Caenorhabditis elegans: one gene and its partner. The protein of the gene in region 2 interacts with the protein of the main gene of each other region in a pairwise test. Each region holds a gene or a part of one and is shown on either strand. Other genes may lie near its edges. The genes, in order: F10D11.2 and C44B9.2.

Region 1 (5,408 bases), on a different chromosome or scaffold from region 2:
TAAAATGATTCAACGTTTTAGAATTTTGTATAATCGGCTTAGCCTTTACAGTATTTTGAAATTGATATTTAATTCGCATTGAACAACTCTAGCACTGGCCATTGTTCAATTTAAAACATTTTCAGAGCGACTTCGGATCTCTGGATAATCTTCAAAAACAGCTTTCGGCATCAACTGTCGCTGTTCAAGGATCAGGATGGGGATGGTTGGGATACTGTCCAAAGGGAAAGATCTTGAAGGTTGCCACATGTGCCAATCAGGATCCACTTGAGGCAACAACTGGACTTGTTCCACTGTTCGGAATTGACGTCTGGGAGCACGCTTACTACTTGCAGTACAAGAATGTTCGACCAGATTATGTCAATGCTATTTGGAAGGTAGTTGTCACTTTCCATCAAAATTAATATTTTTAATTTAAAATCTTTCAGATCGCCAACTGGAAGAACGTCAGCGAGCGTTTTGCAAAGGCACAGCAATAAATGAGCTGAATCACAAGAATTAATCGTCAAATGTAGCAGTAGAAGTTGACTCCCATTGTTTTGTAACTATTTTTGTTTCTTAATTATTTCGAAATGTAAATTTTCAAACCTTTTCAAATGAAAAGTTTTCACCGAAATAGCTCTTCGAAGCAGCAGGGAAACCTGTCCATTCATTGAAGTATGGCCTCTAAAAATCATGTTATATCAAAAAAAGAATGAAAAAAATAAAAAAGAAATAGTAAAAAAACTGAGAACTAAAAACTAATTCAACGATTCATATCAATTGATAAAATTTTTATTGATAAAATTCATTCATTGATATTCAAAACAAATACATGTAATTCATTTTCGGTGCAGTTATTAGGGGAATTTGAGATATATACAAATTATTTTTACAAATTTCGCAGAGTATCGCTCAGATGAGAGTCCATTTGTTGGTGAATGCGTCGGTCTTTCTGAAAAAAGTAAAGAAATAATTGATAGAAAAGAAAATAGAAACTAACATGATATTGTGGAGGTAGAAATGCTGATCGATGTAATGGTTCATGCTGAAAATATAAAAATTTGGAAATTTTTGACCTGAAATAATATTACATTTGCAACAAATGGAAGGAAACTGCTATGATGTGAGTGATCGGTGAATGAGCGAAGATCTGATTCCAGAAGAGATGGAGCCTGAAGAATACAATTTTAAAAACTAATTTTGAATAAATTTGAAAGATCAAACGTACATCAACAAGTAATTGAGAAACTCCATCAACTGCTTTCCATAAATTATTCGGATCAGTTTGGAATCTGAAAAATCAGAGAAGTTAGGATTTTGAACAGAACTTTAGTGTTTACTTGGAGTCTGTAAGAGCTGATAAACTGCTTTGAGCCTGGTGAGTTGTCGGGTCCAGTGCCGAAGAATTCTGGAAAAAATCAAAATTTAAAAGATACTCAATTGCCACCAAGAGTGTCGGTATTTCAATTTTTCACTCTAATCGAAAAATTTAGTTTTATGATATTTCAAAAAATAGCTTTAAATTTTGATCATTTTTCTTCTTTTTTTGATAAAAAGTTGAATTTTTTTGTAATTGTTTCCTCGTTTTCGATTTTTTCTGGAGAAAAAACTAACGAGAACGTATGAAGAAGCCGTGGAAAACACTGGTTGCATGAGAGTAAGGTCAAGTTCTGGAGCTCTCTGAAATAATTTATAATTATTAGAAATAGTTGAATTCCAGGATACTTGAACACATGGAACTACAATTGGTTGATAAACGTTTTCCTCAATATCGATTGAATCATTTTGTGATTGATCCAATTGTTCCATTAATTGACTAGTATCCGATGAATTTCCAATTGTTGAATGTGTTGAAAATGTTGGACCCTGATCTTGATGAGGTATTGTAGATGAAGATGATGATGTAGCTGCTTCAAGAGATGATGTAAATGTTACAGCACTTCGTTTGTATTTCTGAAATAAAGTAATTGAAAACTTTAGTTTTGGATTTTTTTGTCTGTAATAAAACAGAAAATGGCTTAAGCTCTAGAATTGGCTGAAGAAACGATAATTTAACATCTCTGTTTATATTTTTTTTCAAAATTGAAACTTGTTTTAAAGCATAAAATTTTTAAATCTTTTATTTTAAACAGTTATATTCAGTATATTGAGACTGTTTTTTGTGATTTAGGGAAAATACAACCGACACTACTCAAACTTTAAGAAATTTCGAGAATCTCAATAAATGTTAAAATTAACTTCAGGTATTAGCATTAAAAATTATGAATGGACAAGTTAATTCGCATATTTTTCGAAAGAAACACTCACCTTTGGGCGATTTCTAACTCGAAATTTGTTGTATCTCACTGTTTGTGCCGCTTCATCACGCTCCCGTTCTAATTCTTCTTCCAAAATCTGAAAATTTAATTTTTCATACCGAACTCAGATTAAAATCTATACCTTTTCATCAGCTTTCTGTACTGTCATTGTGTTTTTTAGAAAATCTCTGACAGACATTCCTGCTCCTGAATTTCCAGTTGTATCCATCTTTTCCGGAGATATTGATCGATTTCGAATCGGTGAATGAAGATTTGCAGGTTCATGTGAAATGGGAACTGGATAAACTGGCATTGGATTATTTATTGGCTGCTGAAACGGTTTTGATTGGAAAAAATATTCGAAATAACGCTTACCTGATTCACAGTAACTTCGTTTTGACCGAAAGTATCATTTTCAATTTTTTCTTCGATTTCTTCTTGAACAGGAGGATCCATGTCATCTATTGAATTATCTTCAGGTTGATGTGGACTTGTCATTCGAGGAGACGGAATACGACCCTGTAGAAAAGAAGCAAAAGTCTAATGGATATTAATAATATCTAATTTGAAACAAATGAAATATTTAAAAGAAATTATGTTCCAATGTAGATTAAGGAAAATATTGGAAAAAGTAATAACTTACCAGACATTTCTCAAGGATTAGTTTGTTCAAACTTTGCTGTGACTGAATAAACTGATGAACAACTTCCGATAAATCATCAATTTTCTTTTCAATTTCAGCTTGTTTTTCATAATGTGGAGTCATCAAATCTGCGAAAAACTGTCTTTTCTTATCGTCGCTGCCACTGGAAGTTTGGGGATTCAAAAGGTCCAATATTTGCAGATGATTCTAAAAAAAATATCGATTTTTTCGACTTTCGGAACTTTTAAAGTTTACTGTTAATGAATTCGACTCTGTAACATAGTTCGCAGCAGATGGTTGAGCAGCACTTGAGTTGAATCCCATTTGATACTGGAAAATTATCGATTTTCAATAAATACGAAAAAGGAAACTCTTGAAAATGAACAATCGAAGAACTTACAATAGTTTTATCAGAAATAGGAAAGTTCAGCTGAGGATTCATTTCAAAAACTTGTAAATCCGTCATTGATAGTTATCCTGCAAGGAATATTAGTTTAAACAAATACCAGATGAAATGTAAATTTACGATAAATAAGGCGCGTATGCGGAAATTCGGAGCTTCGTTGTAAACAAGGAAATCATTCCCGTAAATCCATCAAACTAGTTTTGAAAAACTGCTTCTACAGAATGATAATCGAACTTTTTCAATCTAAACTTGATATACAAATATAGGAAAATGTTCAATTAATTTGAAAAAAAACACTCAATTTTGGTAATTTGGCTAATTGAAGAGTATTCTACATTCTAAAAAGACCAGAAAAGAGCAGTGCAAGGTTAGGGCATCATTTACTAGCGTGCTCATTTACTTGAACGCTCAATCCCTAACGATGGCTCAATTCCTTTGACGCTCAATTACTAATGTTTTCACTTTCGTTCGTTTACTAATGAATGGCTCATATACCAGGGCTGTGCGGCAACCGGCAACCGAGTTGCCGGTTTCCGAAAAGTTGCCGAAGTTTCGGTAACCAAAAGTTGCCGGTTGCCGAAATTTTTTTTAAAAGTAATTTTGTAGTTTAAGTTAGTAAATGAAATATCAAAGTAGATGAGCCATTCATTAGTAAACGAACGAAAGTGAAAACATTAGTAATTGAGCGTCAAAGGAATTGAGCCATCGTTAGGGATTGAGCGTTCAAGTAAATGAGCACGCTAGTAAATGAGGGTTTGCCTTGACGTTGAGGGTTTGCCTTGAAGTGAGTATACTGATTTTAGTTTGAAATTTGGTATATCAGCCGTACCTGCAAAAACAAAGCACCTAAAGCACACATCACAACAACGTAATCCCTACACTAAGCCCAGCTCATCCAAAAAACTGCACCCCTACCGTACCACTCCACTACAGTCCCCCGATAATAAAGCGTTTTTCTCCATTTATTCATTAGAGTTTAGAGTTTACTCAACATACTCGGCATTTGGAGGCAACTTCCTGCCAAATTATGGCAACTTCCTGCCAAATTTTGCTTGTTTCCAACTTCCTGCCAAATTTTGGCAACTTATTTTAGTGGCACTAAATAAGTTGCCAGGTTGTTGGCAGGAAGTTGCCAAAGTGTGGCAGGAAGTTGCCTCTGAATGCCGAGTAGGCTTTCAATTGAATCAATTTTTTTAATCTAAGTTCCTATAGCACCTTCAGAATATTCCCTAGTGAAATTCAGTTTTGCGGCTGCAGCAAAAAAGGAAGTCAGATGTTAAAACAAAAAGGAAAAAATAATACATTGGAGAAAAAGCTTGCTGAAAAACTAAAATGGACGTTGAAACTTCGAATCTTGTTGAGAAAATCGCCGGCCAATCAGCGACGTTGGCCAGTTCAATTACTCATCGCTGATTGACCAAAAACAGAAAATATTAAATGAAAACTTCAGATACTCATTTATTGTCCACATAAACAAATAGACATTCTTACAACAAGTTCATTATTCTTCTTCTTTCTTTTCAGCCACCTTGTTCTCGTCCGTAATCTTGGGAGTATTCGTCATATTTGATGTGGAAATAACCTTCTGAGCAGCCGATTTCTTTTCTTTATCCAACTTTGTCTTATCCTTATTGATCTTGCGACGCTTCTTGGTACGCAAAGATCTCTTAAACAATACAATTGCTTAGGAAAAATATCCATTTCAAAATTTTATCAATAATTGATTTTAAAATTGAACTCACATCCTTTTCCAATGCATCCACCCGCCCATTCATTAGCTTATATTGCTCTCTATCTTCATTTCTCATTTGCACAATTTCTTTGTAAAGATCCTAAAACTTCCGTGTTACTCAACAAAAATAAAAATTGAAAACCTACCCGAATCTGTCCAATCAAAAGTCGAATAGACTCTCGATCATCCGGTCCTCCGACAACCATAGCCATTTTTACGAGAAGAAATACATTTTTTGATTGATGAGGGAGGGGAGGAGGACGTGAAAAAACATAGTAAAATAAGGACAAAAGCTACGTGTTGATTAATTTAATTTAAATAATTTTTAAAAATTCGAACCTTCTTAAG
Region 2 (5,157 bases):
TTCGAACAACACCTCATTGCTCATCGGAATGCTCATTCTTGCGTTTTTCTCTTTGCTGGCTCTCACATCGACTACCGTACTCCTCTGTGTGTATATTAGTGATCGAAAGAAGCCTGAGTTCTTTGATATGCCATTGCCACAGGCAAATAGTACTGTACTTGGCGGGAGGAGGTAAGGAAATTCACATATTTAGATTCAAAAATCGAAAAAAATCAATTTTCAGTAGCGACACGGGCCTCTTCACCACAAAATCATCATCAGAACGTTGGACAGAATACGGATGTGAACCATGGTCATCATTCCAACCATTTAATATTGATTCAACATATAATCCACCAAGAGAGACGACATGTGTCTATAAAGTTACACATCGGGAGGACGACGAATCAAGTGATTCCGGAAATGCGTCACTATAATAATTTTTTAATTTTTTAAAATTTCTCCCAACAGTTTTCATAAAATTCTAATTTTTTTTGCCACAAAATTTAATCAGATCTCTAATTTGTATTCTTCTTGTGATATAATACTGCTCATTTGATGTATGTTCATCGTAAATTAAACTAAAATTTTTATTTTTTATGATTTATGTAATAAATAAATTACCGGCTCAGTAGCGGTTTTCTTGGCCCAATGATTCGAGGAATAATGGGATAAAAGTTAGGTGTATGCTGGAGTCTCAATGGAGAACTTAAGGGAATTAATAATACTGGGGGGGGGGGGGGGGGGAACTTGGGAAATAATAAAACAATAAAAATATTAGGAATAAAACAGACGGGGAGTTACTTATGAACATGAAAGAATGCAGCCGAATTGGTCCATGGAAATTGTACAGGTGCCGTCGGAGATCACCATACCCGAGCGGGATGTGTGAATTCGTTTCTCGCCTCGCTTCACGTAGCATTTGTCCTTGTCCTGAAAGAAAATTTATTTTTTTCGGTTTATTTTAACTTTTTTTTTCGATTTTATTGATTTTCTGTCAAAAAAATTGCAAAAAAAAGCTGGCTACGGTAATCTTAAAGGCGCACAGCGGAATATTTGCAGTCGGGTCTCATAAGGAAGTTGCTCATCCCCGGCCATGCGCCTTTAAAACTACCGTAGCCCGCCAAACATTTTTGTTAATTGTTTTCAAATGTTTTTCTTCGATTTTCTCGTTTTTCACATAATTTTTCGATTTTAAATCCGATTTTTGTCGAAATTAATAATTTTTCATCAACTTTCAGCAAAAATTCTAAGCCCAGTGCTAGTTTGAACCCAAAACTGCACAAAAAATTGGGTTTCGAACAGATTCAGGCAAATTACAGCAAAAAACTAGATTTTCATTAAAATTTGAAAACTTTTTGACCGTATATATTTTTTTTCTTAATTAAATCAATTTCTTACCTGAATAGCCATATCAATAAAAGCGCTTCTGAGCTGAGCCGTGAGAGTTGTCGCATTGACGGTAAGCTTCACTGGTTTTGCCTCCACATTCACCTCTCCCGATTGAGTGTTGTACTTGAGAAGCATCCCGTTGATATGCACAGTGAGGAGTCCATCCGGGTGCTTTTCGTATTGAGCTTGCTGCATTACAGCTTCGCACTTTTCCATATTCTGAAAGAAAAAAGAATTTAATTCAAGTTGAAAGAATGCTTTAATTTTAACTTACACTTGCTCCAAGATCAGATTCTCCATACATTTGTTGAATGGTATAATCCATATTCATGATCGGAAACTCTGGTTTCTCAAGAACCACCGCCGAAGGTCCAGATTCTTTGGCTCCACTCAAAAGATAGGCTTCTGTGAGTGAGTCCATACTGAATAGAATTCCTTCTGGTCCCATCACAGCCATTCGATCATTTGTATTCAGGAATTTGCAGTGAACATGCTCCTTTTGATGCACAATCTTTGCATATTTGTGAAGAAAACTGCAGACGGCACCATTCGAGTTGATGTAGGCCATGAAATCCGTGTTGCAGACGACACGAAAACTGCGATCCATACACAGTTCGACGATTATTCCGGCGGCCATGGATACCATCACAGTTCCTTCCTGGGAGCAAAGGAGCAGTGGATACTTGACAACACCCTGATCTGTCTTGATTCCTCTAATTGGGACTGAATTGGTTGCAAATGGCAATGGGCTGACCAGTTGGAAGAACTTTAGATTTGGATTCGGAATAGTTCCTGAACAATTTTAAGGTTACTTTTGATCTACTAGAAGACTACAAACTACTCACCTTGCCTAGAAGCAGAAGAATTTTCCTGTTTCCGAGGTGTCGACTTTCTCTGATTCTTCTTTCCACTGTTGTTGCTTCCACTTGACTGTTTCCATCCACTGAATGGAATGTGAGCTGGTGGCGATAAGTCATCGAATACCGAGTTGTTGACTCGTGGAAGACCTCTGCAAATTTTGGAAATTTTGAAAAAAAATTGGTGGTTTTAAGTAGTCTGAGCGGAATTTTGCTTTAAAAATTCCAGAAAATTTGCGAAATGTCTTGAAAAAATCGCATTTCGCCGAATTTGGAAGTTTTATGAGCAAAATTTCAAAAATATGGCCGAGAAACCCAATTTATGACGGCCATCACTCTGTTTTCCAGGATCTGAGGTGCATTTTTTCAGAATTCGCTGCGTGGCCTAGTTTTCGCATTTCACGGCCATGCAGCAATACCTGAATGCCCTTCCGGAAAAAAATAACGTGGCCGCGAAAAAGTTATCGGTGGCCTAGTTTTCTTAAAATTTCCAGATTTACACTTTTTTCTATAACTGTAATTTCTTTAATTTTTCGATAAAGCCGATTTTTCATCCATTTGTGCAGGGATGGCCTAGGTTCCGCATTTCACGGCCACGTGGCAGCCTATACAAAAACTCCAAAAATTTAGATTTCCACGTGGATTCCTGGCTTTTTCTAAAATTTTCCAGTTATTTCGCTATGAAAAAGCCAATTTTTCGGGGTTTTCTTTTCACAAATGGTGAAAAATCTGAGAGCGAAAACGTGGCCGCGAAAAAAGTAATCGGTGGCCGAACTTTCTCATTTCGCGGCCACGTGGCAAAACCTGTATTCCAGCCAGATTTTGAAGAAAATTTCCAGATTTTACTAGCATAAAGTGAAATTTCTTCACAATTTTCTGGGATTTCCTCTTAAAAAAATCCGAAAAAAAAACTAACGGCGGAAGTTCCACAGACATCACAGCGAACGGTGCCGTCGTTTTCTCCGCCATTTTGAGTTGTTGAGATGGAGCTCCCGGAGCAGCTGTTGCACGTCGTTGAGGCGTCACAGAATCTCTGAAACACGGATTTGTCAGCAGAGAGCTCACAATCAAAAAATGCTCCAACTCACCCTTTCTGGTTTCGCAACGTCATTTTGGCTTGCCGGAGATTCGTCGTACTGAATTTTCCGATTTTTTTTCGTCTCTGATTCTCTGAGTTGGACTATGTTACGTTTCGCCACGTGGCGTGCCACGTACCTTTTTTTTTTGTTAAATTTTGTGGATTAATCTTCACGTGCTTTTATTTTTTTTTGGAAAAAATAATTCAAAATTGAAAAAAATCTCGTTTTTCAAATAAAAATTTTGCGCAAAAATTGGGTCTCGTCGCGATTTATCCCTTTAAACTCTAGAAATAAAATTTGAAAATTTTGGGTCTCACCACGAAAATATGCCTACTGAAAATTTTACGAGGTCGTGGGTACGGTAGTTTTAAAGGCGCCAAAATACGGTACCAGGTCTCGACACGATGGATTTGTTTATTGCAAAAATGTGTGCGCCTTTAAAGGATACTGTAGTTTCAAACTTTCATTTTTCTGTTTATTTTTTCATAATAATGTTTTAAATTCATCAAATAAATATAATTTAATCGGAAAACTTTGAAAAATCAATAAAAATTCCTAGGAGTTTGAAACTACAGTACCCTTTAAAGGTGCACACTTTTTTAAATGAGCAAAAATTTGTCGTGTCGAGACCGTGATAAAAAATCGGGTTTTTTGTTGTATTAAAAATTTATTGATTATGAGGACAGAGATGATGACATGAAAAGATTTCAAATCAATAATTAATGCAAAAATTGGGTCTCGTCGCGATTTCTGGAACAGGATGCGCCTTTAAAACTGTGGCAGTGGGTACGGTAGTTTTAAAGGCGCAGATTCAAATTTTCCATTTTTCTCAAATTTTCAATCGCGAAAAGAACCCAATTTTTGTCGAAATTTCAATTTTCTGAAAAGAAAAAAAATGCAAAATAAATTAATAAATTAGTGACAAAATATACAATTATATCAAACTATTTCTACATAAAATTCTAGTCTTTCAAAGCGTCCAATATCCGAAGTCGGGCTTTTTTGCTCACGTGAGCTGCGGCACCGAGTAGAGAAGACAGCTGCTTTGATGAGTATTCCTGCAAAATTTCGGGAAAATAATTTATTAAATTGGAAAAACCCCGTACAGAATGCGTCTTTATCCACTGTTCTAGACCATTTTCCGGCAGATAATAGGCTTTGATGTATCCATCGACGAAACTCGCGTGAGGAACTGGCTTGATTCCGCAGAGGGGCTCCAGCTGAAAAAATACTGGAATTTTTCGGGTCTCGAAACGATTTTTCAATAATATTTTCCTAGTTTTTGGGCGGTAATTGCCCTTCGGCAAATTTTTTGTCGTAGAATTCGGCAAGTTGCCGGTTTGCCGGATGTATTCAATTCCGGCAATTTGCCGGATGTTTTCTATTCCGGAAAATTGCCGGTTTGCCGGGTGTATTCGATTCCGGAAATTTGCCGATTTGCCGATTTGCCGGTAGTTTACCATTCCGACAATTTGCCGATTTGCCGCTTTGCCAAAAGTCTTCAATTCCGGCTATTTTCCTATTTTCCGGAAGTTTACCATTCCGACAATTTGCCGATTTGCCGCTTTGCCGAAAGTCTTCAATTCCGGCAATTTGCCGATTTGTCGCTTTGCCGAAAGTCTTCAATTCGGAAATTTCCCGATTTGCCGCAAGTTTACCATTCCGACAATTTGCCGATTTGCCGATTTGCCGGATGTATTCAATTCCGACAATTCGCCGATTTGCCGGATGTGTTCAATTCCGACAATTCGCCGATTTGCCGGAAGTTTTTAATTTCGACAACTCGCCGCTTTGCCGAAAGTCTTCAATTCCGGCAATTTTCCTATTTGCCGGAAGTTTTTAATTCCGAC

Evidence for each region.
Region 1: the proteins of C44B9.2 (region 2) and F10D11.2 interact in a two-hybrid assay, tested with the Caenorhabditis elegans proteins (one large-scale study listed by BioGRID).

What each region holds. Positions count from the first base shown.
Region 1 is NC_003279.8:8,435,199-8,440,606, forward strand, and holds F10D11.2 (uncharacterized protein), read right to left. Parts: upstream 3,411-5,408; 5' UTR 3,389-3,410; coding exon 3,323-3,388; intron 3,253-3,322; coding exon 3,178-3,252; intron 3,130-3,177; coding exon 2,923-3,129; intron 2,799-2,922; coding exon 2,655-2,798; intron 2,611-2,654; coding exon 2,422-2,610; intron 2,377-2,421; coding exon 2,290-2,376; intron 1,936-2,289; coding exon 1,708-1,935; intron 1,663-1,707; coding exon 1,597-1,662; intron 1,391-1,596; coding exon 1,323-1,390; intron 1,275-1,322; coding exon 1,211-1,274; intron 1,155-1,210; coding exon 1,074-1,154; intron 1,028-1,073; coding exon 983-1,027; intron 935-982; coding exon 872-934; 3' UTR 760-871; downstream 1-759. Other genes in the region: dpt-1 (Dipeptidyl peptidase 3), read right to left, coding at 589-653; sod-2 (Superoxide dismutase [Mn] 1, mitochondrial), read left to right, coding at 126-377, 429-479; F10D11.3 (BAG domain-containing protein), read right to left, coding at 4,830-4,994, 5,071-5,160, 5,207-5,272.
Region 2 is NC_003281.10:10,873,641-10,878,797, reverse strand, and holds C44B9.2 (Lgl_C domain-containing protein), read right to left. Parts: upstream 3,367-5,157; 5' UTR 3,340-3,366; coding exon 3,317-3,339; intron 3,262-3,316; coding exon 3,145-3,261; intron 2,381-3,144; coding exon 2,217-2,380; intron 2,164-2,216; coding exon 1,646-2,163; intron 1,591-1,645; coding exon 1,381-1,590; intron 913-1,380; coding exon 784-912; 3' UTR 556-783; downstream 1-555. Other genes in the region: C44B9.3 (C2 domain-containing protein), read left to right, coding at 1-171, 224-416; vps-50 (Vps54_N domain-containing protein), read right to left, coding at 4,270-4,527.